7 linked regions of the Macaca fascicularis genome follow. The protein of the gene in region 6 binds, or shares a complex with, the protein of the main gene of each other region. Links are inferred from orthologs where the notes say so. Each region holds a gene or a part of one and is shown on either strand. Other genes may lie near its edges. The genes, in order: SURF1, TMEM186, TIMM21, TMEM126B, SMIM20, COA1 and ACAD9.

The links.
Region 1: COA1 (region 6) and SURF1 share a complex: the UniProt entries of both Homo sapiens proteins name them as parts of the MITRAC (mitochondrial translation regulation assembly intermediate of cytochrome c oxidase complex) complex. The link is inferred for Macaca fascicularis from reciprocal best matches to the Homo sapiens genes COA1 and SURF1.
Region 2: COA1 (region 6) and TMEM186 share a complex: the UniProt entries of both Homo sapiens proteins name them as parts of the mitochondrial complex. The link is inferred for Macaca fascicularis from reciprocal best matches to the Homo sapiens genes COA1 and TMEM186.
Region 3: COA1 (region 6) and TIMM21 share a complex: the UniProt entries of both Homo sapiens proteins name them as parts of the MITRAC (mitochondrial translation regulation assembly intermediate of cytochrome c oxidase complex) complex. The link is inferred for Macaca fascicularis from reciprocal best matches to the Homo sapiens genes COA1 and TIMM21.
Region 4: COA1 (region 6) and TMEM126B share a complex: the UniProt entries of both Homo sapiens proteins name them as parts of the mitochondrial complex. The link is inferred for Macaca fascicularis from reciprocal best matches to the Homo sapiens genes COA1 and TMEM126B.
Region 5: COA1 (region 6) and SMIM20 share a complex: the UniProt entries of both Homo sapiens proteins name them as parts of the MITRAC (mitochondrial translation regulation assembly intermediate of cytochrome c oxidase complex) complex. The link is inferred for Macaca fascicularis from reciprocal best matches to the Homo sapiens genes COA1 and SMIM20.
Region 7: COA1 (region 6) and ACAD9 share a complex: the UniProt entries of both Homo sapiens proteins name them as parts of the mitochondrial complex. The link is inferred for Macaca fascicularis from reciprocal best matches to the Homo sapiens genes COA1 and ACAD9.

What each region holds. Positions count from the first base shown.
Region 1 is NC_088389.1:6,019,001-6,023,098, forward strand, and holds the start of SURF1 (surfeit locus protein 1), read left to right. Parts: upstream 1-1,298; 5' UTR 1,299-1,323; coding exon 1,324-1,377; intron 1,378-1,462; coding exon 1,463-1,514; intron 1,515-3,142; coding exon 3,143-3,276; intron 3,277-3,358; coding exon 3,359-3,441; intron 3,442-4,098. Other genes in the region: SURF2 (surfeit locus protein 2), read right to left, coding at 212-278, 497-567, 761-915, 1,107-1,184. UniProt on the Homo sapiens protein: Component of the MITRAC (mitochondrial translation regulation assembly intermediate of cytochrome c oxidase complex) complex, that regulates cytochrome c oxidase assembly.
Region 2 is NC_088394.1:9,562,800-9,567,040, forward strand, and holds TMEM186 (transmembrane protein 186), read right to left. Parts: upstream 2,801-4,241; 5' UTR 2,776-2,800; coding exon 2,773-2,775; exon of another isoform or gene 2,428-2,772; intron 1,747-2,427; coding exon 1,108-1,746; 3' UTR 341-1,107; downstream 1-340. Other genes in the region: PMM2 (phosphomannomutase 2), read left to right, coding at 3,044-3,109. UniProt on the Homo sapiens protein: As part of the MCIA complex, required for efficient assembly of the mitochondrial complex I.
Region 3 is NC_088392.1:6,591,316-6,595,460, reverse strand, and holds the start of TIMM21 (mitochondrial import inner membrane translocase subunit Tim21), read left to right. Parts: upstream 1-1,345; 5' UTR 1,346-1,625; coding exon 1,626-1,926; intron 1,927-4,145. Other genes in the region: FBXO15 (F-box only protein 15), read right to left, coding at 495-610. UniProt on the Homo sapiens protein: Participates in the translocation of transit peptide-containing proteins across the mitochondrial inner membrane.
Region 4 is NC_088388.1:84,674,325-84,676,487, reverse strand, and holds part of TMEM126B (complex I assembly factor TMEM126B, mitochondrial), read right to left. Parts: intron 2,087-2,163; coding exon 1,965-2,086; intron 731-1,964; coding exon 537-730; intron 335-536; coding exon of another isoform or gene 293-334; exon of another isoform or gene 148-292; intron 1-147. UniProt on the Homo sapiens protein: As part of the MCIA complex, involved in the assembly of the mitochondrial complex I. Participates in constructing the membrane arm of complex I.
Region 5 is NC_088379.1:25,047,341-25,051,420, forward strand, and holds the start of SMIM20 (small integral membrane protein 20), read left to right. Parts: upstream 1-1,280; 5' UTR 1,281-1,377; coding exon 1,378-1,486; intron 1,487-4,080.
Region 6 is NC_088377.1:86,615,668-86,618,701, reverse strand, and holds the end of COA1 (cytochrome c oxidase assembly factor 1 homolog), read right to left. Parts: intron 1,880-3,034; coding exon 1,803-1,879; intron 915-1,802; coding exon 815-914; 3' UTR 501-814; downstream 1-500. UniProt on the Homo sapiens protein: Component of the MITRAC (mitochondrial translation regulation assembly intermediate of cytochrome c oxidase complex) complex, that regulates cytochrome c oxidase assembly.
Region 7 is NC_088376.1:154,551,988-154,556,141, reverse strand, and holds the start of ACAD9 (complex I assembly factor ACAD9, mitochondrial), read left to right. Parts: upstream 1-1,354; 5' UTR 1,355-1,415; coding exon 1,416-1,565; intron 1,566-4,154. UniProt on the Homo sapiens protein: As part of the MCIA complex, primarily participates in the assembly of the mitochondrial complex I and therefore plays a role in oxidative phosphorylation.

The sequences.
Region 1 (4,098 bases), on a different chromosome or scaffold from region 6:
CTACAGAGCAGAGAAACCAAGTTTGTAGGGATAGTTCACAGCAAGGATTCAGACTGGTGGCTGTGTCTTGGACTCATCCCTGGACGGTCTACCGGGGACGGTGTACCATGCGGCTTGGGCATAGGGCTTTTAAAGGCTCCCGGAGCAATTCCACTCTGAAGCTGGGCAGGGAACCGCTGACCCAGGCCAACTGCAGCCTCTTAATGTTTACCGGAAAAGTAGGCATGGCAGCCTCGCTGACTGCTCCAAGATGAGTTCACGCAAGAGGACGACTCCACCTGGCCAAGTGCTCAATGAATGGAAAGATCCCATCTCTGTTTTGACGATTATTACCAACCCTAGTTCCCAGGTAAATCAAAGATCCCTTCTGGGGTCAACAGGAGAACCCAACGCTGTTCACAACCTCAGGTGACAAAGCACAAGCCTCTACTCCTCTGTGAAGCAGCCACACCCCACAAGACAAACCTCAGGTTTACCGAAAAGCAAACGAGCTCACCGAGAGGCCTCGCCAGGATCGCAGGTGACTCCAGCACCCGGGCGACCACCTGGATCCCAGGGCTCCCAACTCTGAAAGAGTGGGAGCTGCAGCACTGGCGGAGTCCTCAGGAGGAGGGAACTTTGGGGTTTACCACCCAGGACCTGTCCTCAGCCGAGCCCTCCCGGGAACCTCCCTTAGAGGGGGTTCAGGCACCGGGGGGGCACCAGCGGAGGGGCTGTCCTAATTGCCCTGGGCCTCCCCACGCCGCCGCGGACCACCTACGGGTTCTTGGTGCTGGGCACGATGTGCGGCTCGAACTCTGCAAAGTCGAAGGCCGGGGAGGCGCGGACCAGCCGCTGGTACTTTTTGCCGCGGGTGTACACCTGGAGCTCCGGCAGGCGGCAGGGCAGCTCATGACCAGTCAAGATGCACCTCACCTGCTGACGCACGGGCAGGCGGTCAGGAGGGCCGGGGCTCCTGTCACTCCCGCTCCCCGGTGCCCCCTCCTGCGGCGCCCCCTTCCTTCCCCTCCCCTGACCTCGCCGCGTCCTTTCTCCCGCCCTCCCCTCAGCCCCTCATCCCAACTGCGCCCTTCTCCACCACTCCATTCCCCTCCCGCGCCGCGAACCTTGCGGGCGTCCGGCTGGAGCCGCAGGCTCGGGTGCTCGCGCAGGAAGGCCTCCACGTCGGCCGGCAACTCGCTCATGGCCGAGGCGCCCGCAGACCACCCCGGCGGAAGCAGCTCCCAGAACTTGGGGCCGGGAGCGGGGCTCTGGGCGGGACTCGGCGGCGACCCGGAAGCAGATGCCTCCTGCGTCCCGGAAGAGCCCGCGGGGCCGGGTGCGATGGCGGCGGTGGCTGCGCTGCAGCTGGGGCTGCGGGCGGCGGGGCTGGGACGGGTGAGCGCGGGGCGCCGGGGACGAGAGGGCGGTACGGGGCGAGGGGAGGGGTCCCGGAGCTCAGCCCGCCCGTCCGTGTCCGCAGGCCCCTGCCAGCGCCGCCTGGAGGAGCGTCCTCGGGATGTCCCCGCGCCCAGGTGAGGGCCGCAGGCCAGGCGGTGATCTAGGCGCATGGGCAGAGCCACCTGCTGTCTGCCCTGCGCTTTGAAGGAGTGTCGTGGGGATTGAAATGAGCCAACTGCCGGCTGAGCGGAGGTTCCCTGGGAGTGACAAGTTCCATATTAAAATGCTTTCAGTGGAACTGTGGTCGTGTGCCGGGCATGTAGCGAGCGCTTTGTCCTCACAACAACGCGAGGGGTAGCTCCTTGGTCGTTCCTATGTTACAGAGAAGGCTCGAGAATTACTTTCTAACGTCACATCCAGCTAATGGGTGGCCAGCCCAGGCTGAAAGCCCAGGGCTCTGAAAGTAAAGCGCATCTAAACACTGCGGCTTACGTGTTCCTCTCAGTGTGCAGCACAGGTTATTTTGCCATGTGTAGAGTGCTGTGCAAGCCTGCCGCAGACCTGCGTTTTTTTTTTTTTTTTTTTGAGACGGAGTCTCGCGCTGTTGCCCAGGCTAGAGTGCAGTGGAGCTATCCCGGCTCACTGCAAGCTCCGCCTCCCAGGTTCACGCCATTCTCCTGCCTCAGCCTCCCGAGTCGCTGGGACTACAGGCGCCCGTCACCACACCCAGCTAATTTTGTGTGTGTGTATTTTTAGTAGAGACGGGGTTTCACCGTGTTAGTCAGGATGGTCTCGATCTCCTGACCTCGTGCTCCGCCCGCCTCGGCCTCCCAAAGTGCTGGGATTACAGGTGTGAGCCACCGCGCCCGTCCTTTTTTTTTTTTTTTTTTAATAAATAGTATCGGCAAGGTCGCTGGTGCTTTTCAGCGGATGGGACTCACCCTCTGAGAGCTTAAAGGCACCTTCTGTGTACATTCTTCCATCTTCACATTTACGATGAGTTGTAAAAATGGAAAGCTGTTAAGAGAGCTCTGTGAGCCATTACTCTGAGCTGACATGTTTCTCTACATAACACAATAACCACTAGTGCCTGGTTAAGCTACTTAGTAACTGTAGCTGCTTATTTTTTGTTTTTTATTTTTTGAGACAGGTTCGCTCTAATTGCCCAGGCTGGAGTGCAGTGGAACAATCTGCTCACGGCAACCACCTCCTCCCAGATTCAAGCGATTTTCCTGCTTCAGCCTCCCGAGTAGTTGGGATTACAGGCATGTGCCACCATGCCAGGCTGATTTTTGTATTTTTAGTAGAGACAGGGTTTTCCCATATTGGTCAGGCTGGTCTCAAACTCCCGACCTTGTGATCTGCCCGCCTTGGCCTCCCAAAGTGCTGGGATTATGGGCGTGAGCCACCACGCCCGGCCAACTGTAGCTATTTATTAAATGCATTTTGAATGGATGAATGGTGCATCTTAGCGCAGTGGAATACATCTATATTCTTGAGTAAAAAGGCATGAGTTACCCAGGGTCGTGGTTGGTGGCCAAGCCAGCACTGAGCCCTAGATCTCACTCAGTTGGCAAACATACTCAGTGTGTGCCATGTCCTGGGCACTGGGTTAGGAGCTGGGCTGTGTACAGGTGCTGCTAGTTGGCTCTAGGAAGCAGGTTTTGATTGGTAGTACTGGAGTCTATCTTGGAACTGGCTGCTCCAGGTTATCTGTTCAAGGGCTCCTGGCCCCATGTCAGTGTTGTGAAACTTTCTCCAGGGGTGGCCTGGAGGCCAAGCAGATGTGGCAGTTCTGCAGCAGAAGCATCTGCCACAAAAGCGGAAGATGACTCCTTTCTTCAGTGGGTCCTGCTCCTCATCCCTGTGACTGCCTTTGGCTTGGGGACATGGCAGGTAAAGACTGGCATCTGGTGTGCATAACTCTGGGCCCTTGACCCTGCTGCCATCTGCTTGGGCTTATGCTCTGTCACTGCAGGTCCAACGTCGGAAGTGGAAGCTGAACCTGATTGCAGAGTTGGAGTCTCGAGTTCTGGCTGAGCCTGTCCCTCTGCCAGCAGAGTGAGTATGTGGCTGCCCCCCAGGGCCAGTCTCACTTGAGTTCAACAGCAGAGCCCTGGCTTCTGCTGGCCAGCCTGCCCCTTTTGGCGGGACTTTTAGTCACTGCCTTGACCTCAGGTGGAGCTCTCATCAGTCATCCTGTTGGGCTTGCTCTTGACACGTGACTGCCCTTGTGAAGCTACCTGAGGCCACCTCCTGACATATGGAGGAAAGTCTTACTTTGCATCCTGGGTGTCACCCTTTTTTCAGGTGTAGTGAACTTATCCTCCACAGGGCCCAAGGCTCTGTGGCTGAGGACAGATAATGTAGGTCTCACTGTGAGGGTGGTCTTTTGAAAAAGTGCCCTAAATGATTTGTCTGCTCTCTCCCTAGAATATGCCCTACAGAGACAGGTATATTCAACCACATTTGCCATTCAGAGTAGCAAACAGTATGCCAGATTTGGCTTGCAGGTGGGATTTTGGCCCACATATTTTTTTAAAATTTCACATATTCATTGAGGAGTCCAGATTTTTAGCTTCTCTTGTAAAGCTGGACTCTGGCAGTGCAGATCCCCATTCCCACATGGCATGAGGGCCACTTCCCCTTTAGAGCGCATGCCCTTTGCCTTTCTCCTTTACTTGTCTGGCCCTGGTGGGCTGTGTAGTCTGCCACCCT
Region 2 (4,241 bases), on a different chromosome or scaffold from region 6:
CCTCCCGAGTAGCTGGGACTACAGGTGCCTGCCACTACACTCGGCTAATTTTTTTGTGTATTTTTTAGTGGAGACGGGGTTTCACCATTAGCCAGGATGGTCTCGATCTCCTGACCTTGTGATCCACCCGCCTCAGCCTCCCAAAGTGCTGGGATTACAGGTGTGAGCCACCGCGCCCGGCAATAAAACATTCTTATTGACTTTCGAGTGGCAAAATAATAAAGATCATCATGCCTTCCTTCCTCTTTACTGTGTTACCAATTGCATAACGAACATGTATTATTAATTATGCAAGGCAATGCATATAACTGGCTTTAGTTTATAAAAGAACATACCAGCATACAGTCCATTAGGCTTTATTACACTGCAGGGCCATCCAAAGCAAGAGCCTCTAGATCTCAGGGTGGTGAACAAATCTCAAATGGGGTTTCGTGCTCACTTGGATGACATCGCTGCTCATCGATGTGTAGTTAACATCCTGGCAGACCTTTCTGCTGCTGGATGTGTGAGGGGCACAGCACAGGGCTCTGGAAGTCCCTGCTGACTGCTCGAAGCCTTTCTCCATGCCAAAACCTCTGACCAAATGCTTAATGCTATCTGCTCTAGGCTGCTGAGTCTGCCACACGTTTGACATTTATTCCCACATCCATCCCATGAAACAAGCAGGGCTTTCCATTTTACAGATGTGAAAACCACGGTTCAAAGAGACTCAATAACCCACCCCAGGACAAGTGACAGAACTGAGACTTCTGACTCCAAATCCTATGCTCCCCCACCACACCTCTTTGCCTTTCAATTTCACACCAATGGACTGTCTGGGTGACCCTGGCATAGGTTCTTCTAAGAACTGGCTCTTAACAAAAACTTCTGGCCATTATCTGACTGAATGTCACAAACGAGTGCTGTAAGAACTTGCTTAGAGCCTTTTTCCTAAATCTGGACACCAGCTCTTGCCTTGTGAATTTCTTCATCACAAAACACACGTTCCCAGGGGCCCAGGCAAAGTCTCCAAGTACCCAATCCCCTTTCTTCAGCTGTGCCCACACCCTCAGCCTTCCTATCAATCCAGGTGACCCAGGGTTACCCAGAGGCCCAGGCCCCAGTTGTTTACTTGAACATCTGATGTCTCCCAAACACCTGCGTGAAACGCTCTCTGTCCAGGATGTGTCCATAGCGCAGGGTGACGTAGAAGGTCTGTTTCCCGCTGTACCGCTGGATACGCATGAACATCTCCTGAGGCTGGTCCTTGGTTTCTGTCAGGGGAATCACATCTGCCAGGGGACAGTATGTGTCCTGCCGCCAGCCCCAGAAGCTCAGATGGGCCACCCGCAGCATGGTGCCAGACTCATTCAGATACAGGATACCAACCAGTCTCCGAAAGAAATAGCTCATCCAGCAAAGCATGGTCAGGGCAAAGCCCGATATCCCACTCATCAGGCACACGGTGTTGAGAGTCAGGAGGCCCTGGGAATACCAGTAACAGGCTGGTGGCAAAACTACCACTGTCAGGGCAGTCTGTGCCAACTTCAGTCGAGACAGGAACCCAAAGATTCTGATGGCATCAAAACGGTAAAACATCCAGAATTTCTCAGTCTCTTGGTTTGGTGGTTTCTCCTTCGAGGTGGGTGACCTGCTCCCCACCCACCTCTTAGGATCCTCCTGCCCACTGCAGCACCACAGCCCATGGAGAGGCCTTTCCCACGCAGCTTTTCCCCGAAATCTAGGCACAACTCGGAGAAGGGCAGCCTGAAAGGGAGACAGTAGACGATTTCTCTCATGGAATTCAACCACATTAATCACACGGTGAACATCTGCAAAGCACCATACTCGAAGGCTTCTGCCAATCCTGCAAGGTCACCATTATTGCCAGAGGAAGGAAGGGTAAAGCCAGATGTTATCTCATGTGGGCATCACAACAGCTATCTAAGATAGTTATCACTATTTCCACTTTACCACTAGGGAAACTAAGCCCAGAGAGGGTAAGATATTTACCAAAGAACACACAGTCAGTGAGTGCAGCAGAGTCCTCCTTCCATCAGGCAATTCCAAAGAAATACAAGAAAGGAGGTGCGGCCATCAATAATTCAAAACATATCTAGGGAGTCCCAACTCTGGGCTGGACAATGGATCCACAAGGGGGTGTGAACATTTCCCCAAGCAGGAAACTGAATAATCAATGTCTTAGTGGGGAACTCAAGCAACAAATCTGTGAGACAGCTATCCCAACAAACTTTCTAATTCTGTTTACGTTATCTTGGGTGCTGGAGGGAACTGCTGCTTTCCCTTAACCTAGTCAGGGGAAGGGGAAACAACGAGGAGGAGGAGGAGCGGGGCAGGGAGGCCCCTACACGTAGCACAAACATATTATTAGGTGGGTAGTGAAGCAGTAAAAGCTCTGGTTCCAATTCTGGCTCCATCAGTCACTACCTGTGGATTCTTGAGCAAATCACTCCACACCCCTGAGCTTCGGTTTCTTCGGCTTTCAAAATGGGGACTCAGAACACAGTGAACGAGAAGATGGTTTCAAAGCCCTCAACTTAGTACCTGATGCGCTGTGAGAGCTCGGCGAGTTTTAGCTATTACTACTGTGAGCACGTGACGCAAGGAGGGCAGAGAAAGCCCGGGAATGGCGAATGGTAACCCACGCCAGAGCTTCCTCCCACGGATTCTTCAGGTCCGAAACTCAGGCGTCGTGCCTGCCTGCCCCAGCTCTGACCCCGACCGACCCCCAAAGAGCATCACCCCCTCAAGGATCGCCACCAGCCTCCTTACCATGGCTCCACAGCCTGCTGCCGGAAGTAAATCCCACCGGCCCCCGGAACCTCTAAGAGCGCATGCTCGAATGTACAAGGCGGGCGTGATCCGCGTTGCACCCTGGGATTTGCGGTCCAGGAATCGTGGCTGGCGCTAGTCCCAGGCGTTGTGGGAACGGAGTCTCCTCCTCTTCCCGACGTGCCCTGCGGCTCGGGGGCCGAACTCGGAAGTTCCGGGCCGAGTTCCTGATGTCAACGAGTCTTGCGAGGTGCGGTTAGACGCTGGGGACATGGCAGCGCCTGGCCCAGCGCTCTGCCTCTTCGACGTGGATGGGACCCTCACCGCCCCACGGCAGGTAAGTGGCGCCCGGCGGGCTGGTGGCAGCCGACTCAGAGTCCGTGCTGTTCCCAGTTGGAGCTATCGACTACCCAGGGTCGGCGCTAAGGGCTGGCTAAGGACCGCCTGCGTCCTCACGGGGGCTGGACCCTATTCTAGGTGCCCTGGAGGGATGAGAGGGAGGCCCTAACCAGCTCTTCAAGAGCTCTGATGCTTGGAAAGATGAGACGGGGCTGAAGAACTCTTAAGAGAAGGAAACTTATGCTTGGTTGGAAAATGCAATCTAGACTCACCGCTAGTCCTCGGGACCGATGGACCAGGATTTGAACCCGACATCAGCTGTGTGCCCCTTATCAGCTGTTTTCCGGCCTCAATCCTGTAACCAATGGGCTGTGCCGTGAGTCATTATATTAAAAACAGGTTTCCAGGTGAAATCGACCTAGTGGAGTCTCATCTTCACCTCTTCACAGCTGTGTGACCTTGAGCAAATCATTAACCTTTCTGAGCCTCAGCATCTACAGCTTTAAATGGGGATATTACGTGTTCCATATGGTGACTGTGAGGATCAAATGAGATTGTGTAAGTTCTTGAAAGTATGTTGCACACAGCACACTAGGCCTCAGTAAATAGTAACCACCTCCACCACACCCATCTCCAGCCCCTGCAGTGGACTAGGAAGATGGAGGAGCCCTAGGTTATTACAGGCTGCCCGCTGAGAGCCTCTTTGGGCCTTTGGAAACTTGCTTTCCACTTCCAGATTTTGCTGCTACAGGCACAGATAAGTTTCAGTCACTATCAGCCTTGAGATGAGGCTTTCCTGTCCCCTTTTCAGAAATTGGCCACTGACAACCGGCCATTTCAACTTGAGACTGGACCCCAATGGTCTCACTATCCTCAACTAATATCCTCACCCCTCGTAGTCTTCGCTTGGTGGTAACTATGGTGTGCTCCAGAAAGCCACGTCAAATGCGTGTGACCTTAGACGTATCATTTTGCCCTTCTCAGCCACAGTTTTGATCTACCTAGTGATGACACTCAACTCCCAAGTTCTTCAAAGGCTTTTTCTGATTCTGAAATTCAGCTATCACACACTTGGGGTTGTTAAAAGCCCATAGTGGTCTAATACTCCGGTCCCCAATTCATTTTTTGTA
Region 3 (4,145 bases), on a different chromosome or scaffold from region 6:
CCCTACCCGCCAGACCAACCTGCCTGCCAGAGGTATCTGCTTGGGGGATGAGGGTGTAAATTTATAAGGTTTTGATGAGCAGACTCTACTTCCCTAAGTTGTAAGGTCATGAAAAAGACGAAGGGAGATTCTTGGTCACAGAAGAGCAAAAATACGAAGGCAGGGGCGGGGCACACGTGAATCTATGGCACGCACCCCGGAGAAGCACCTCTTGGACCGGCAGCTGTCGTGGCAAGTGAGCGTAACCCCGACCACAGGCGCCGCGAGAAAAAATATTTCCCCGAGAGGCTACTCTACTTGTGTTATAACTTAGGGAACCCCACATTGCAGGGTAGAAAGGATTTCCTCCGGTCGTTCTTCCAGACCCTTCTCACGTTGAAGAGGGCCGCGGGCGTTGTGCCAAGCTGGACGAATAAAATACACGGTGGAGAGAGTGGGGCCGCGCAGTGAGGGGCTTCCCGCCAGCGGACCCCACCCGCAGGCCCTACAGTCACCTGAACCCAAAGGTCCTGGCGCGCCCCCGGGCCGCGCCACCTCCCCTGCTGGGCCCGCGCAGCGTCTGGAGGCCGAGCCAGTGCTGCTGCAAGATCCGACCGCGTCCAGTCGCCATGGAGACGAGTTCACCATAGACCCGCTCAAGGGCGGAAACTAGGAGGGCACGCACCGCCCCCACGCCCGCGCGTCGCCACACCCCCTTACGCCCATGCGCAAGTTCACAAAAGTACCGCTGGCCTGGCGCGTGCGCAGACGGCACCGCGCCAGACAGCCGCTCGCAAAGCGGGCTTCTAGAAACTTCCGGGCCCCAGCTTCTTTCCCCACCCCTACATTCTGCCACCAAGGGCGCTAAGCAAGTCCTCGGCTTAACCATTTAGGAAACCGGTGCCTGCTTTGCAGCGGCCTCGTTCATCTCCACTTGCTGACTCTTTTTTGTCCGGCTTTTCTGAAAACACAGTGAAATGCAAAAACGAAATCATTTGCCCACGCGGAATAGAGAAGACCACAGTCAGAGGGAGTACTTCCCACTGTGCACAGTCCACTCTAGAAGGATAAGGAAAACACGTAGTGTGTAACTGCTAATTTGGCTTTTGCAAGTCCCGCTTGAATTACGTAGGGTCTGTGGTACCAATTACCCCACCAACTCCCCGCCTTCCCGCCTCTCCAAGGACGCGCAGCGTCTGCGCAGGCGCTGGGCACGGAAGCGCCTGGGGGCGCGGGAACGGCCTGCGCCGTGCTCTGGCCGCCTTGAATTGTGGGAGATGTAGTCTCTTGTGCGCGCCCCATTGCCGCATCCCAGTTAAGAGCGAGGTCTTCAAACTACTATTCCCAGGAAGACGGGGGGTTTCCCAGGTGACTTTGCGAAGACATGGCGGGGACACTGTGAATGTCAGCCCAGAAGGTAATCAGAGCGTGTTGATTCAAAGAAAACAGAAGGGAAGGTAGACAGCAGGTTCTCCCTGGAGATTTTTCGTTTTCATTTACGCTGCTGAAGCCAACGTTTTTGCCTAACACGCCATGTAATGTAAACGTATAGGTTTGAGTACGTGTCCGGCCAGATGTGTAGTGAACCCGAAAACTTTCCTAATTGTAGTTAGCATCGTCCCTAAGCGGAACGATTTTCTGTGAACATGATTTGTACTTTTCTACGAGCCATACAGTATACGGAGAAGCTGCACAGGTCCTCGGCAAAGCGATTGCTTTTGCCCCACATTGTGCTTAACAAAGCGTGCTTGAAGACTGAGCCCAGTTTGAGATGGGGGCTTCAATATCAAAAGAAAACAGTGCGACCTAGATGTATTCTTGGAGTCACTCAGAAAACCATCTGGACGCAGGGACCGAGCCCCCGGAAAGCAAAGGAGGGTAGCAGCAAACAAGTGTCTGTACACAGGAGTCAAAGAGAGGGAACCGCCGTCCCAACATCACAAAAAGGTAAAAAGGAGTACTTCAATGATTGGTCTTTCAACAGACGTGACAAGAGCTGCCAATGCTCTTTTACACCAAGTTCACTACTAAAGGTGAAAAAGCAATTAACATGAATTTTTAAAAGCCGTTTAAACATAATTTAGAGCTAGAACATATAGACCTACAGTTTTCTTCACAGATTGGAACTCAGATTTGAAAGTTGATCTTGAATTTGATATAACTTTCTTTCGTTATGTTTGGGAAATTTTTCTCAAGTTGTATTGGCTCTGTTACATATAATAAAGAGTAATTGGATAGGATAAAAAGAGAGAGAGAGCTTATTGACTCATAATCAATAGGGAAAACTTTCGTATGTTACCTGCAATAATAGAAAAACATAAACTAGGGAGGATGGAATGTAATTTGTCAGGGAAAGTCAGAGATATGTTCACAGATATTTTAAGATTTTTTTTTAATTTCTTCATTTCGCATGTGATTTGTAGGAAAAAAAGGACAAAGCAATTTAGACCCCATGATTATACCACACAAAGATGACTATTTTTAACATTTTGCACTTTCATACACATACCTTTTAATAATTTTTAACCCAAAAAATTGAATCATATTCTACCAATTGTTTTGTAATCTGCTGAATATGCCAAAAACCTAGTTTTTCATTTGTAATAGTTCAGCACGAAGGAACAATCCGTATGCAGAGGTGAAAGGCATAGAAGTGGCAAACAGCATGTGTGTCAGGTAATCTGGCTCAGGCAACAGTGCTGCTGCTTGCACTGCATGCCAGGCCTGCTTAGGGACCCCTTCCCTGATCTGCACCCCATTCAGAGGTGACAGTCCTTGTTGCTGAATGAATGGATGGGAGCAACATTCCCAAATATGGAATATGCTGTGTCCAGAATTCAAAGAAACATTGTGGTAGTAGGTATAGGGTACAATTGTCTTTTACTTGGGAGGGCATGTCCTGGCACACCCCAGTGTAGCCCCATGAGGTCAGCTCATGTGTTGGTGAGCCTCTGCATCTTTGTTGGGCCCACCTCTCACACTTGCAGCTTGTCTGACCAAGCCTTCTAACACACTTGCCACTTGTTACTTCTGGGCTCTAACACGATAGTGTAAACATAGTAGACAAATGTGATATTCTGCTGAATGTCCAGAACAGCATTATTCAAATAAAACTTTCTGCAGTCATAGAAATGTCCTATATTTATGGTGTCCATTTGGGTAGTTCCTGGCCACTTGTAGCTATTTTGAGCACTTGAAATGTTGCTAAATTATGTTACTGAAGAACTGAATTTTAATTAATTTAAAATTGAACTGAAATACCCATGAGTGGTGAGTGGCTACTGTATTAGACAGCCCAGATCCAGAAAGTTTCACTCCCTTAAGACTGTAACAACAGAGGGTGAGAGAATTAGCAAATCCTGGTCAGGATCATAAACATACACTGTTATTATCTGTTTCATGTTACTACACACTACTCCTGCTGCTGCTTCTGAATAGAAGGCATTCTTCAAATCAATGGCCAATACCATGAGATTGTGTTAATGCACTGCCGTGTAAAGTTACCATGTGTGGTATTGCATGTGTACCCCGGCTGCCACTTGGTTAAGTTTGCAGTTAACCACTGTCATTCTCCAGCGCCTATTTGTGTTTTGTAAAGGAAGACTGGTAAATTACAAGGGACTGTGATAGGGGCCACCATGCCTGTATCTAAGGTCTCTAAGAATTGCACTCTTTCTGCCATTCCCCATGGATGTGATACCATTTTTAATTTATTACCTTGGTCACTGGGGCAGTTTCAGAGGCTTCCATTTGACTTTTCCCACTCTGATAGCTCTTAACCCACTTCCAAAGGAACTAAAGTGGGAGTTATTGTTGCCAATTACTCAGTACATCCCCTTGATTTATACATTTGGAAATCAAGGAAATTATTACCAGATAAGTCCCTGGACCCAGCTGTGAGCTTCTTACATGCTGTCGGGGGGGTGGGGGGTGGTCGGGGGGTCATCATGACTCTTTGGGTCCTTGGATATCACTGTCAGCACAGACTATGTCCAAGTTGATAACTATAGGTCCTTTTGGTGAAGGACCGGGGTAGTCAGTCACATACACTTTCCTTCAGTAAATGGGTTCCAGGTCTGAAAACTGGTTCAGGTCCAGAAACCGGGGCAATGTTCAGAGCTTTGCATTAGAGCAACTGCCTTCAGCCTCAGGAGTCATCTGAGGTT
Region 4 (2,163 bases), on a different chromosome or scaffold from region 6:
AGGCTCTATCAATTACTAGTTGTGAAACTCAAGGTAAGGTGAAGGGCAGGAAATAACATTAAAAGCCCATAATATGACAGATATTGTGGTAGTCATTTAACCTACAGTATCTTTTAATTCTCACAAAATCCTGTGAGGTGAGTACTATTAGCCCTAATTCATAGATAAGACAAGGGAGGCTCAGAGATGAAATTACTTGCTGAATGTCACAAAACTTAAGTGGCAGGAGGTAGGATACTGAAATGATGTTTGTTATATGCCACAGTCAATTCTTTTCCCAGTATGTTGTTTATTAGTGTACTTGAACATGCCTCAGTTTGGGTTGCTTGCTTATCTACAAAAAGAAAAAAATACGATTTACCTAATTAGGAGGATTGTTGCAGGGATTAAATACGACAAGGTATATGAAGGGACTTTACAAACTGTATAGCACTATATAAATGTAAAGAATTATTATTAGCAGTAGCAACAGCATATGTTAATCAGTAACTTTACTTAGACAAAACTACATTATACATTAGTGAATTTAAATTCACCTGAATACAAAGGATCAATTACAAGAAGCTTGTAAGTAACTACAGTAGACAAAAATGGAAGTGTAGCCAATGATGCATATGTTTTCAAAGCATCGTGTTTAACCTTGAAGCAGCGTCTGAACAGGAAGTTTGAGAATATTCCAGAGAAACCAGCTGTTGTTCCAAATGACGTCATTTGATATATATTTGGTGTCCTAATAGAAAAAAAGAAAAATTCAGTTCACTGTAACATTGAACTTAATGGATACAGCCTTTCCTAAAAAGTTGTTATTGCATATTTACTCAATATGAAATACTTCTTGAGCACTTACTATGTGAAAAGTATTTTCTAAGTGCTTAAGATAGGGCAGTAAACAAGGCAAAAGAAAAAAAGAAAAGGAAAGAAATTTCCCACCCCTCATAGAACTTGTATTCCAATGAGAGGACATGATTCTCTTTCTGATAATATTTACAGTAGTTCTAAAATAGAGCTCTTTTAAATAATTTTGGTCACAAATAAATATAAATATGCTCCAATGTAGCCAAATTTTATGAGTTACCCAAATCGAAGAATACCTTTCCTGCAACTAAAAGATTTACTTTGCTTAAGTTCAGCTAAAAAAAAGCTATTTACATTTGGTTAGGCCTTCTATTTCTGCATTAGTCCCAGATACATTTAAAATAATTTGTCCAAGATTTAGAAAATTTCATCCAAAAAAATCTGATCTAGTTTTCTTATTAAGACCCATACCTAAATCCAGGAAATAAGATCAACTGTCCTTTGGTTTTATTCTTGAACTCCATTCATTTAAAAGTCAAAATGGCCAGTCTGGCCAACATGGTGAAACCATCTCTACTAAAAATACAAAAATTAGCTGGGTGTGGTGGTACACGCCTGTAATCTCAGCTACTTGGGAGGCTGAGGCAGGAGAATCACTTGAATCTGGGAGATGGAGATTACAGTGAGCCGAGATTGTGCCACTGCACTCCAGCCTGGGTGACAGAGTGAGACTCTTATCTCAAAAAAAAAAAAAAGTCAATATGTTAATGTGAGACTATATTTATACTATGAAATCTGTATTCCCTTTTGCTGTACTAAGTACTGTGGCTGAGATAATCAATCCTTAACTGATTATAATTACTCACCAATTAAATATAAGTACCCCCCCAATGATTTTCTCTTACTTTTAATTAAAATATATTTACTGCACAAATGTTTTAGCAATACTTTTGGATACTTTTTAAGAAACAAAAGAAATTATCCACAATCCCAAATATTCCAACAAACCACTATTTTCATCTGTTCTTGTTTCCCTCATTCTTTTTTTTAAGGATGTGTTCTTCATAACCAACTCAAAGAATAGGATAACAAAGAATAGGATCTCAGAAACAATGGCAATACAAAAGACTTGCAAATAAAATGATTTTCAGCCTGGGTATTTCTCTTACATTTCTTTTCTAAGATAGTCAAAATTTTTTTCTATGATTTCTATGATCATTGGTCTTCTGAGTTTTGCATCTTCTAGAGAAGGACTGGGTTGACCATGCATAGATGCTGTCATCTTGACATCCTGGAAAAAAAAATTCCAGAGCCATAATAGCTAATGATATTCATATTACATAAAACCTTACAGAATTCTACAGATTC
Region 5 (4,080 bases), on a different chromosome or scaffold from region 6:
TTATCTTTTTATGGATATGTTCTATCTCTTCATCTATGCGACAGGATCCTGGAGAGCAGGGGTCACATCTTATTCATCTTCGTGTCGCCTTAGCACTCTGCCTGGTGTTCGGGGCATGGCAGATAGTCCATGAATCTGGGGAGAGATTGGATAACTGATTTACATGCTTCTGGAGCCACAGAGGTAGACGGTAGCTTGATGCAACTACAAGATTACAAAGACAGAGGAAACCTGTCCTCTCCAAGCTATTTTGAAACGCTTGTAGATCTGTTGTGGCGTAAATAATGCTACTAGGGTCAAGATAGATATCCTCTTTGCTCCCCAGGCCCAGCTGCTGGCATGATTCCGGCTTATAAAGGCGTGGAGGCCCAAGGAATCTGGGTCTCAGCTGCGCAGTCTCCCTGTGCAAGTCACAGTCAGGCACAGCCCACCGGTAAGGGCAGTGAGGTGCAGAGGGCAGAGGATGGCAACTTGAGGAAGAGGAAACAGGTATCTGTCCTCAGTGGCCCCCACCCAGACAATACGGCAGTGCTCCGTGGCCCCATGGATGGAACCGGACGATGGCTCTCTGCCTTGGCCAAGGCATCCCAGCACAGGCAACAGGGAGAGAGGATGGGATGGAAAAAGAGAGTAGCTCGGATGCTGAAACGACGTTCCTCCTAGGCTAGTCTTGGTGCAGAAGCCCCGGGGCTCCGGTTTTAGAATCCCCCAGCAGGCCCTCTTGGGCCAGAGATTTGTCCCTTTGTCCCTCATACGTACAAACCTCCCTCAAGAAGGACGAGTGAGTGGTCCAAAGCCGCGCAGCGGAGCCGCGGTTCCCTCTCCTGTAAACTAAGCCGACTGATACAAGGATTAATTGCGCGAGCGACAGAGAGCATCCGGCGCACGGCGGACAGTCGCTAAATAAGAAATTAATGGGGGATGGACGAGAAAGCTGGCTGGTTAAGAAGGGGATGGTAAAGGAGGTCTGGAGGGTGCTGGGTGGAGGTGCTGAAGGAGGAACCGGGCCGAAGGAAGGAAAGCAGACAGAACAGGGCCCGCGGGAATCGAGCGCAGCAAAACAACTCCAACCTCAAACCAACGCCAGCACCGGGCCAACACAGCACGGAAGCCCGGGGAAGGTGGAGGGCGGGGTCCGAGGCTCCGCCTGTGACCCCACCCCTTTCATGCCCCCGCCCCTTCCAGTCATGAGGCCCCGCCTCTGACTCCACCCCTGTCTCGCTCCCCGCTTCGCCCCTCCTCCTCGTCCCTCCCCCAAGGCCCGGAAGCGAAAGCCTCTCAGCCTCTTCCGAGCGGGGTCACGGGCCGGCCGTCGGTAGCCAGGTTTCCGAGAGTGCGGGGCGGTCGGCGGGTCAGGGCAGCCCGGGGCGCAACGCCATGTCCCGGAACCTGCGCACCGCGCTCATTTTCGGCGGCTTCGTCTCCCTGATCGGCGCCGCCTTCTATCCCATCTACTTCCGACCCCTAATGAGATTGGAAGACTACAGTGAGTGATCTCTGACCCCGTGCGGTGACCTGACCCCCCCATACACACCTCCCCCTCCGTGAGCTCCACGTGGTGCCGTGGAAAGAACTTGGCTCGAGGGTTAGGGAGAGCCAGGTTCGAATCCTGCCATGTGCAGCTTTGTGACCGTGGACAAGTTGCTCAACCTCTGGGACCCTCAGTATCCTCATCTGTGAATATTAATAACTACATCATCTATAGTAAAGTGCCGAGCCTCCTGTGAGACTCAGGTGGTCATGTATATGAAAGCAGTCCTCTCAGAAGTCAACGCTAAGTACTAGTTCATATTTACAGTTAAAATTCACTGCATGCCTATTATACGTCAGGTTAGGCATATGTTGGATCGTTTCATTTGCACAAGCTCACCTTGAAGTATGTATGTAAAACATACCCATTTTACAAATAAGGGAACTGAGGCTCAGAGGTTTTATAACGTTCCCAAGGTCACACAGCAAGTGACAAGGCAAATATATCCTACCCCAGGCCGCTGTCCGGAGTCTTCTTGGAGCATTTAGGCTGGAAATGGTGACTGGGGGAGCCAGATGGAACCCTGATCCTCCTGAGCAGAAAGGTGCTTTTACTGCACTTCATTTCCACTCCCAAAGATGTTTTTTGAGCGGGACTGTTTCAAACCCAAATGTTAACCTGGGGCTTTTACTTTTTTCTCTTCTTTTTCCTCAAATTGTTTCTCCGATTCTGCTGGTTTCCTTCGTTTTAAGCCGGTTGCTCACATGTTAATGGTGAATATCCTGGGAGTAATTTTCCTTCTTAATCATTCCAGTCCTATCATTCTAAAAGCCAAACTCTTCTTCCTTGAGACCTATATCTCAGCAAGGATTAGCACTTTCATACATCTGAAACCATCTGTCAGAGAGAAAATATTAGGCATTAGAGGCTCATTTTTGTTCACCAGGAAACTCGAATCGTCTTGAAGATGGAAGAGGGCCAACCCTGCCCTTTGGGAATATTAACGGACACTGAAAGCTTGGCGAATTGAAGGCGAAAGCTCCGTGTAAACGTTCTGCCCATTGCAAATGTTACAGCAGTCGGTTTCTGGAGGCAGAGCGTTTTAAGTGCCCACTCAGATTTCCTTGTAGCTTCTTCTCATTAGCCAAGACTGAAATGGCCACTGTGTTCTGCCTTCCAGCTTATCTGCATGCACCATGTGTGGGAGTAAGGTGGGCTGTGTGATGCCCTGCGGGATCTGTTGCCACCATCCTTCTTCACCGGACGCCTGCCCCAGCGATTATATTAAGGCCACTAGAACTTGGGACAAAGGGTCTGCTTTGCATCCCATTGGAAAAGTCAGTTCTGAAAACTAGAGCTGTTGGTTCTTATCTAGGAGTGATTTTGTCCCTCAGGCTATTTGGCTCAATCTGGAGACATTTTTGCCTGTCACAGCTTGGGATGGGGGTGTCAAGTGTTGCTACTGGTTTCTTGTGGATAGACGCCAGGGATACTGCTAAACTTTTTGCAGTGCATACAAGACAGACCCCCATGACAAAGAATTACCCAGCTTAAAATTCGAGTGGTGCCTTGGTTGAGAAACCCTGCTTGAGGTGAGATGGTCAAGATGTGGGCGTGTACTGTGTATCCTAGTAACAGTCCTTTAGGGATACTCCAGAATCTGTGGTTGTCTGAATGTCTTGAGACAGACAAATCAGGTGATGTTCATCGGTGGGTGAACATTTAGTGAATGTAACTATAATATCTGCATGTTTAACTGGAAGGCAGTCTGTGCCTTCCCGCTTTTCTGGTCCTTTTTTTTTTTTTTTTCTTTTTTTCCGCTGTCACCCAGGGTGGAGTGCAGTGGCCTCATTTCAGCGCACTGCGGTCTCCTCCTCCCACGTTCAAGCAGTTCTCCTGCTTCAGCCTCCTGAGTAGCTGAAATTACAGGCGCCCACCACCATGCCCAACTAATTTTTGTATTTTTTAGTAGAGATGGGGTTTGGCCATGTTGGCCAGGCTGGTCTTGAACTCCTGACCTCAGGTGATCCACCTGCCTTGGCCTCCCTAAGTGTTGGGATTATAGGTGTGAGCCACCATTCCCAGCCTCTGGTTCCATTTTGATTAATTTGGCCAACTCTGTTCTGGGGATCATAACTGATTCTTTTTTCTGAGACAGAGTCTTGCTCTGTCACCCAGGCTGGAGTGCAGTGGCATGATCTTGGCTCGCTGCAACCTCTGCCTCCCGGGTTCAAGCAATTCTTGTGCCTCAGCCTCCCAAGTAGCTGGGAATCAGGTGTGCACCACCAGTCCTGGCTGATTTTTGTATTTTTAGTAGAGACAGGGTTCTGCTATGTTTGCCACATTGGTCTTAAGTGCTTCACCTCAAGCGATCTTTCTGCCTCAGCCTCCCAAAGTGGTAGTGTTACAAACTGACTGCTGTAACATTTGTAATGGGCAGAGTGTTTACACAGGGTTTTTGCCTTCAGTGCTGGCAACTGATTCTTTTAAACAGGTAAATATTGCTGAACAGGTAATATTTGTGGGAAGTTTACTGTATGTTTGGCACTCTTGTAAGCACTTCCTATGTATTAACCCATTTAGTGTTGGTAACAGCCCTTTGTGGCAGC
Region 6 (3,034 bases):
TTTTCAGTAGAGACGAGATTTCACCATGTTGGCCAGGCCTCCTGACCTCAGGTGATCCACCTGCCTCGGCCTCCCAAAGTGCTGGGATTATAGGCATGAGCCACCACGCCCAGCCAGATGCTGTTACCTTCAAACTAACTTTCCTAAGTTAACTTTATGTGTATATGTACACACACAAATTTTCTAAGCTTTCAAAATGTTTGGAATAAAAATTATTTTGCAAATCTTCAACTGGGCAGATGGCTGGTATCTGAAATAGAAATAAATGCAAACAAAATATTCCAAAGTGATGGAGAATGTCCACAAGCTACTTAACAACATGAATTCAAGGTACAGTGAAAAACCAAACTGGTCTTCCTCATCATTCTCATGTCAATAATTTAGAAAAAATCCCTTCAGTACTACTGAGCTTCAGGCTTTGTAATGAAGACTGAAAATTCCAGGGGAAAGGAAGAGGAAGAGAAAGGAAAGAAATGAGAACCAGCAAAGATCAACAAACATTTCATTAATTCTGATTCCTTTTATCATTTGCTTTTTTATACAAAGCACTTTCAAATCAATTATCTTAAATTTGTAATAGGGGTTTCTTTCGGATTCAGTTTAAAAATGACAAATAGCATTCGTTGTGCCCAAGTTGGAATTATACCAAAATTACCATGTGCTGGCACATACAATCATCCCGCTGGTGGCTGGAAAACTGGGTTGCAGGAGTGTCTGCCACTCAGATGGGCCACCACCCCAGTGGGCATATGGTAGAGATGAGGGAAGGATGGACTAGAAGCACGCTGGGTCTGCTGGGTCTTCTGGGTCGTCTCTACTCCTTTTTCACTTCGTCACCGTTTTCCCCACTGAGCTTGAACACAGGAATCTGCTGACCATCCTTGAGCTCTAAAAAGACCTCGTCAAGGTGCCACCTGAGAGAAACCAGAAGTACAGTATCTCTAATCTATGAACACTGAGGCAACGGCCATAGTCAAAAAAAGGGGTGCAGAAAGCAGTTGTTTTGAATAATGCCTTAAATTTTTGTAAACATTTTGTGTGAGTGCTGTGTCAACACAATTCGTAACATTCTACCATGGGCTCTCATTATTTAACCAGCTTCGACTTCGAGGCAGGCTTAACAATGACAGGCGAATGGAAGGGACACCAGGAAGGAGAAGGAGCAGTTTATTTCTCATTTCCTAATTCACACTGACCTTCAGTTCCTGGCATGGAATCCAGTCAGCTCGTGCACTAATCCCAGGCTCAGAGGTCAGTGAGCCCAGGGTGAGCTAGGTGGGCCCGCCTGCTCCTTTTGTCCTTGGGAATTAAAACACAGCCTGGCTAAACAGCAAGCATCTATGAGAGAGGCTTCCCGTGGGGGAAGTGAGTGGATGTAGCTACTGGCAACCAGACAAGCAAAGCCAATTAAGGGGTGGAGAGCTTATGCAAAGAATGTGATGAATAAATTCTGGAACAAGAATCCATGCCCTTTATTCATTTGTAACAATCGAGGCAGTGAAGTGAGAAGCTGTAACATAGCATCAAATTATGACAGACCTAGATCACTATAACTGGAAAGTTTTATGAATTCAACGGCATAAGGAGAGGGCAATTCAGTAGACTGTATGGATAAACTGGACTCAACTAAGAGCCGCAGTACTGGCTTGCTGCCCAGGCCACGAAGCTTTCAGCTTCAAGCTTGAAAAACAGTTCTTCCTATGCCCACAGCAATTTACCAACAAATGAAAACAGAGTCGGGGTTGCTTCCATCAGGAAGTCCTCCTCCCACCCCCCGGACTGCCGTCACCTTCCCAGAATACCTCTGAAAGGGGCCACCTCTGGAGGAGTGGACGTAGAGAAGGCCCTCTGACTTGGATCCAGAGACAGGAATCTTCAACTGTGGTGTAAAATGACAGAAAGGAGAGATGTAATTGGATACATTATTGTCATTTCAGAAGATGATGACAAAATGATGCTTTCTAGAGCTAAGCCTATAAAATCCAGTGATTCTCCACAGAAGTGAGTTGTTTTCTAACAGCCCAGCTGGAGAATCCACTTGATTTTCCAAATGTCCTGCCCCTCTTTGGTTGGCTGGTAAGGTCAATGGCAGTCTCTGCATTTGGCAAGGAGGCCTCCTATGATCCTACTTCCAATGATCGCTCAAAAGTCCACTGTTAAAAAGGAGCAAACTCCTGACACACGCAGCAACATGGATGAGTATCAAAAACACGCCAAGTCAAAGGGCTTTACACAGGAGGAGTATATAACTATTTATTTTAATTCTACAACAGGCTAAACTATGCTGGAAACCTGTTATTTTGATGGATTACAAAGTAATTTTCAAACATCAAAAAAAAAAAAAAGAAAAGTGACTGCCTCTGGTAGAGCTGGAAGATGTGAGAAGGAACCCACTGGGTAGGAAACGAGGGAATTCAGGTGCTGGGAGCAATCTACATCTAGATAACGGCTTGAGTGACACGACTGGGTGTATTTGTTAAAACTCATCAGAGATAGGACACTTGGATTTGTGCCTTTCACAGACTGTAAATTTTACCTCAAAAAAAAAAAAAAACCAAAAAACTAGGCACCATAACAAATATTAAACTCCACTTAATGATGTACGTGCTTACATGTATAATGTTTGAAAATTACTTTGTAATCCATCAAAATAACACTATAGACTCATGGAAACAGAGCAAAATGCTAACTGTAGAATCCAGGTACCAGCTATAGGTGCTCACAGTATAAATTATTTTATCTTTTTTGTACATTTGAAATTTTTCATAATAAAATACCAAAAGAAAATTCACTGTTTTAAAGAGGAACCTATTGCCAGCAAATTGGTACATATTTTGACCTGGACCCTAAAGAACAGGCTTTAAGGAAAATATAATACATGAAGGCTTGTCTGGGAAAGACGACACGGAGTCCTGGGTTTCTCCTTCATCCCCAGCACCACAGGCTGGGTTCGCACCACAGGGTGCTGCCAGGTGCTGCCATGCCCGTGCCCAGGCAGTCGGCCTGACAGCCCCTAAGCACTTGTTTGATTACA
Region 7 (4,154 bases), on a different chromosome or scaffold from region 6:
CTGGCTCAACGAGTTCTGCAATCCCACCCAGGAATAGAAGACAGCAAGAAAAACTCACTTCGACCCCCTATCATTCCATCGCCAACCCGACCAATCAGCACCCTCCACTTCGAGTTCCTACTCGCCAAATTATCCTTAAAAATTCCGATTCGTGTTTTCGGGGAGACTGATTTGGCTATTAAAACTCCCTCTCCAGCACAGCTGGCTCTGCGTGAATTACTCTTTCTTATTGCCATTCCCCTGTCTTGATAAATCAGCTATCTAGTCAGCGGGCAAGTGGGCGGCTACAGCCTGGCCTGTCCCATCCCATCCAATAGTTCCCATCTCTTCTCAGCTCCCTCTGTAGTTTCTCTTCCTCCACCTGCCTTTTCAGTGTTTCCCAAGACAGAGGTGACTCAGTTTTGTTTTTTTTTTTTTTGAGACGGAGTCTCGCTCTGTCCCCAAGGCTGGAGTGCAGTGGCGCGATCTCGGCTCACTGCAAGCTCCGCCTCCCGGGTTCACGCCATTCTCCTGCCTCAGTCTCCCGAGTAACTGGGACTACAGGAGCCCGCCACCGCGCCCGGCTATTTTTTTGTATTTTTAATAGAGACGGGGTTTCACCGTGGTCTCGATCTCCTGACCCTGTGATCCGCCCGCCTCGGCCTCCCAAAGTGCCGGGATTACAGGCGTGAGCCACCGCGCCCGGCCGTGACTCAGTTTTATCCAGACCGCTCTGTGACTGAACACCCATTTTCTTTTCCTCTTCCAGAAAATTATTTGTCAACTAGGTACAAAACAGTATCTCAGGAATTCACCATCCAGTTAAAAATGGAACCTTATCCTTACCGTGCCCCTGCAGAGACCCCAATACCGCGCATTTCCCCCATTCTTTTGCTTTCCTCAAGTTTTACCACAGCCTCGCGGCCGCAAGTGACAAAAGAGGCAAGGGGAAGCAGCTGGGCCGGCCTTTAGGTTTCTGTACACAGGGAGATTTCCCATGGCTAGCATTTATGGAAACAACTGCTGGTATGTGAAAAACAGGTCCCTCACAGCCGTCACGACGGCCGGAGCTCATACCCGCCAACATGCCCGCGGCCCCGACCCTCCAATTTTCTCCGCCCAGCAACTCTGGCCGCGCAAGCACAGTGGGACCGGAGGGAAGCGTGGACACGTGACGTCATCAGTCAGCGCGGGCACGTGACGTCATCAGTCAGCGCGGACCAGCCAGGTGCACATGACTACGGCCTTGGCCGCGGAAGGTGGCAGCCGTCAAGCCCTTCTGGCCTCTCCATCCCCTGTTGCGGTAGACCGCGCAAGCGCAGTGAGTACTGCACAGCGTCGCGGGCCAGTAACGTCATCCGACGTTGCGGACCATGTGTGTGTCCCTGCTGCGCCAAGTAAGAAGTGGAGCCTGAGGCCGGGGAACAGCGGGCGGCATGAGCTGGTGCAGGCTCTTCTTGCGTACCACGGCTGCGGCTCGTGCCTGCCGGGGTCTGGTGGTCTCTACCGCGAACCGGCGGCTACTGCGCACCAGCCCGCCTATACGAGCTTTCGCCAAAGAGCTTTTCCTGGGCAAAATCAAGAAGGTAACGCGAGCCCTGGGCGAATCCTTGCTGTCTGGCTCCCGCTTTTCATCCTCAGCTGCAAGATTGGTGTTCAGCTTTGTCGGATTCCCCAAACCTGCCAGAGAGACACACCCTGCAGGCGAGGCGTGTTAACACTCTGGATTCCTGAGTTCCAGGAAAACCTTCCCAGAGAAAGGGTGGGACATTTCCTAGACGGGGGACCCTTGGAAGTGTAAATTTTGTCAGAATTTGGAAAACTCTAGGCTAGGTAATTTACAAAGCAGCCTTCATCTCAGCTGGTCTGGTCTGGAAATGTGCGGGGCTTCCTCTCTTATTCCTAAACAGTTTAGACCGTGTCCCTCCTCAGTCACCTTCCAGCGCCCTGGGGCTTCCTTCCCCAGTTGAGCCGTAGCGCCTCTCCCAGCCATTGAGGTTCCTCAGAAATCTGGCTCCAAGATGCTTCCCGGGCGTCGCACAACCCTGCCAGTAGTAACAGTTTGGTTATAAAACACTCATTGTCCTCTTAGAGTTGGAAGACGGGTTTGGTCTTGGCTCGTTGACTTTGAAACTCAGTTCTTTTTTTTGAGACAGAGTCTTGCTCTTGTCGCCCAGGCTGGAGTACTCACTACAACCTCCGCCTCCTGGGTTCAAGCGATTCTCCTGCCTCAGCCTCCGGAGTAGCTGGGATTACAGGCGCCCGCCACCATGCCCGGTTTTTTTTTTTTTTTTGTATTTTTAGCAGAGATGGAGTTTCACCGTGTTGGCAAAGCTGGTCTCGAACTCCTGATCTCAGGTGGTCCACCCGCCTCGGCTTTCCAAAGTACTAGGATTACAGGCGTGAGCCACCACTCCCGGCCGAGACTCAGTTCTTTCAGCCTTAAAATGGAGATAGTGTTGTGTCTCCTTCACAGAGGTGTTGTAGAGCCCCAGTGAGATAAATGGTGCATGGAGAGTCGTCTTAAACTGTAGAGTACTGTGCAGAAGAAGAGAGAACTGGCTTCAACACTTACTAGTCTTGTGACCTTGGAGCTGATGGTTTCACCTCCCTGTGCCTCAGTGCCTTCATCTACAAAATAGGAATAAACACATTTCTTGCTTTTTCCTTTGTGTTTTATTTTATCTTCTAAGGAAAGCAACAGTATACTTGCTATTTCCTCGAGGTGCCCTGCTTTGAGCTTGGCTGAATGTTGGCTGATCCTCTATCACGGAAGTTATTCCCTGGCTTCTCTTTGGAACATTCCTCTGAGGTTGTCAGGCTGATCCCTTTATAGCAAGCAACCTTATTGATGCAGAAGCTAAGACTCAGACTAAAAGCAGTTTGCCCGGCTAGAAGGTGCAGAGCTATGTCTTTGACATATGGGAAACCCTTTTACCCAGGACCTGGGGCAGTGTGGTGCTCTATCCTGGGACCTCCTGCTTTCCAGCAGCATGGTGAAGAAAGAACACAAATCCTTCAGATCTGTTTCCATCATAAACCTTTGGCACCACCTGCCCTGCCCTTACTCTCAGCTGTCAGCTTTGCTTCCCGTTCCACTGAGAAAATCCATGCAGTCAGATGAGAACTTCACAGGCATAGTTACCCCCTCCCCCTGCATGTGCCCATATTATCTACATTCTGTTACTATGACTGAACTGTCTGCTTCTGGCAAAACCAACCTCTCATTAGACCCCAGGCCTTCTCACCTACTCAAGGGTAATTCTTTCCTTTCTCGGAATCATTAACTGTTCTCTCTACTGGATCTTGAGACCTTACCATTCAGACGTTTGTCCCTAATGGCCATGGAAGTCAGTAGTGACCTCTCTGTTGTCAAATCGTGTGATCTGTTCTCAGACCTCATCCTACTTGGCCCATCATTGGCATCTGACGCTGTTCGTTCTTCTACCCTGTTGACACACTTTCTTCTCTAGTTTCTGAATCACTATTCTCATCGTTCTCTGAATGTTCTAAATACTTCACTGACTGATACTTCTCTGTGTCAATTGCTAGTTCTTTTTTAGCTCCTTTACTGCTAAACAATGACCAGTGTTTCCAACTAGCCAAGTTGGAATTTACTAAGGCTGGGTCTGTGGATGTCTTTTCATCTACAACCATCTCCTGGGTGACCTTATTTAGTGTCCTGGCTTTAAATATCATCAATATCCTGATGCCTCAAATTTCTTTTTCCAGTTCAGATTTCTCCCTGAGCTCCAGATTCCTTTTGCTTTTTCAGAGTTGGGGCCTTCCTCTGTCACCCGGGCTGGAGTGCAGTGGTACCATCATAGCTCACTGCAACCTTGAACTCCTAGGCTCAAGAGATCCTCCCACCTCAGCATCCCCAGTAGCTGGGACTAGGCACGCCCTGCCACACCCAGCCAAGGTCCTTTTTTAAATCTACCTTTGTACTCAAAAGCTCTGCTAAGAGGTTTCACAGGCGTTTGAGATTAATAGATCCAAAACTGAGTTCCTGGTTCCCACCCAATCCTGGTCCTTCCACCAGCCTTCTTTTATCATAGATAATGGTGGCTCTGTTGTTCCACCTGTTCAGACAGAACACCTGGCGTCACCTTGTACTCTTATTCTCCTAGTTCACGTCTAATTCCACAGAAGATCTGGTTTTCTCTACTTTGAGG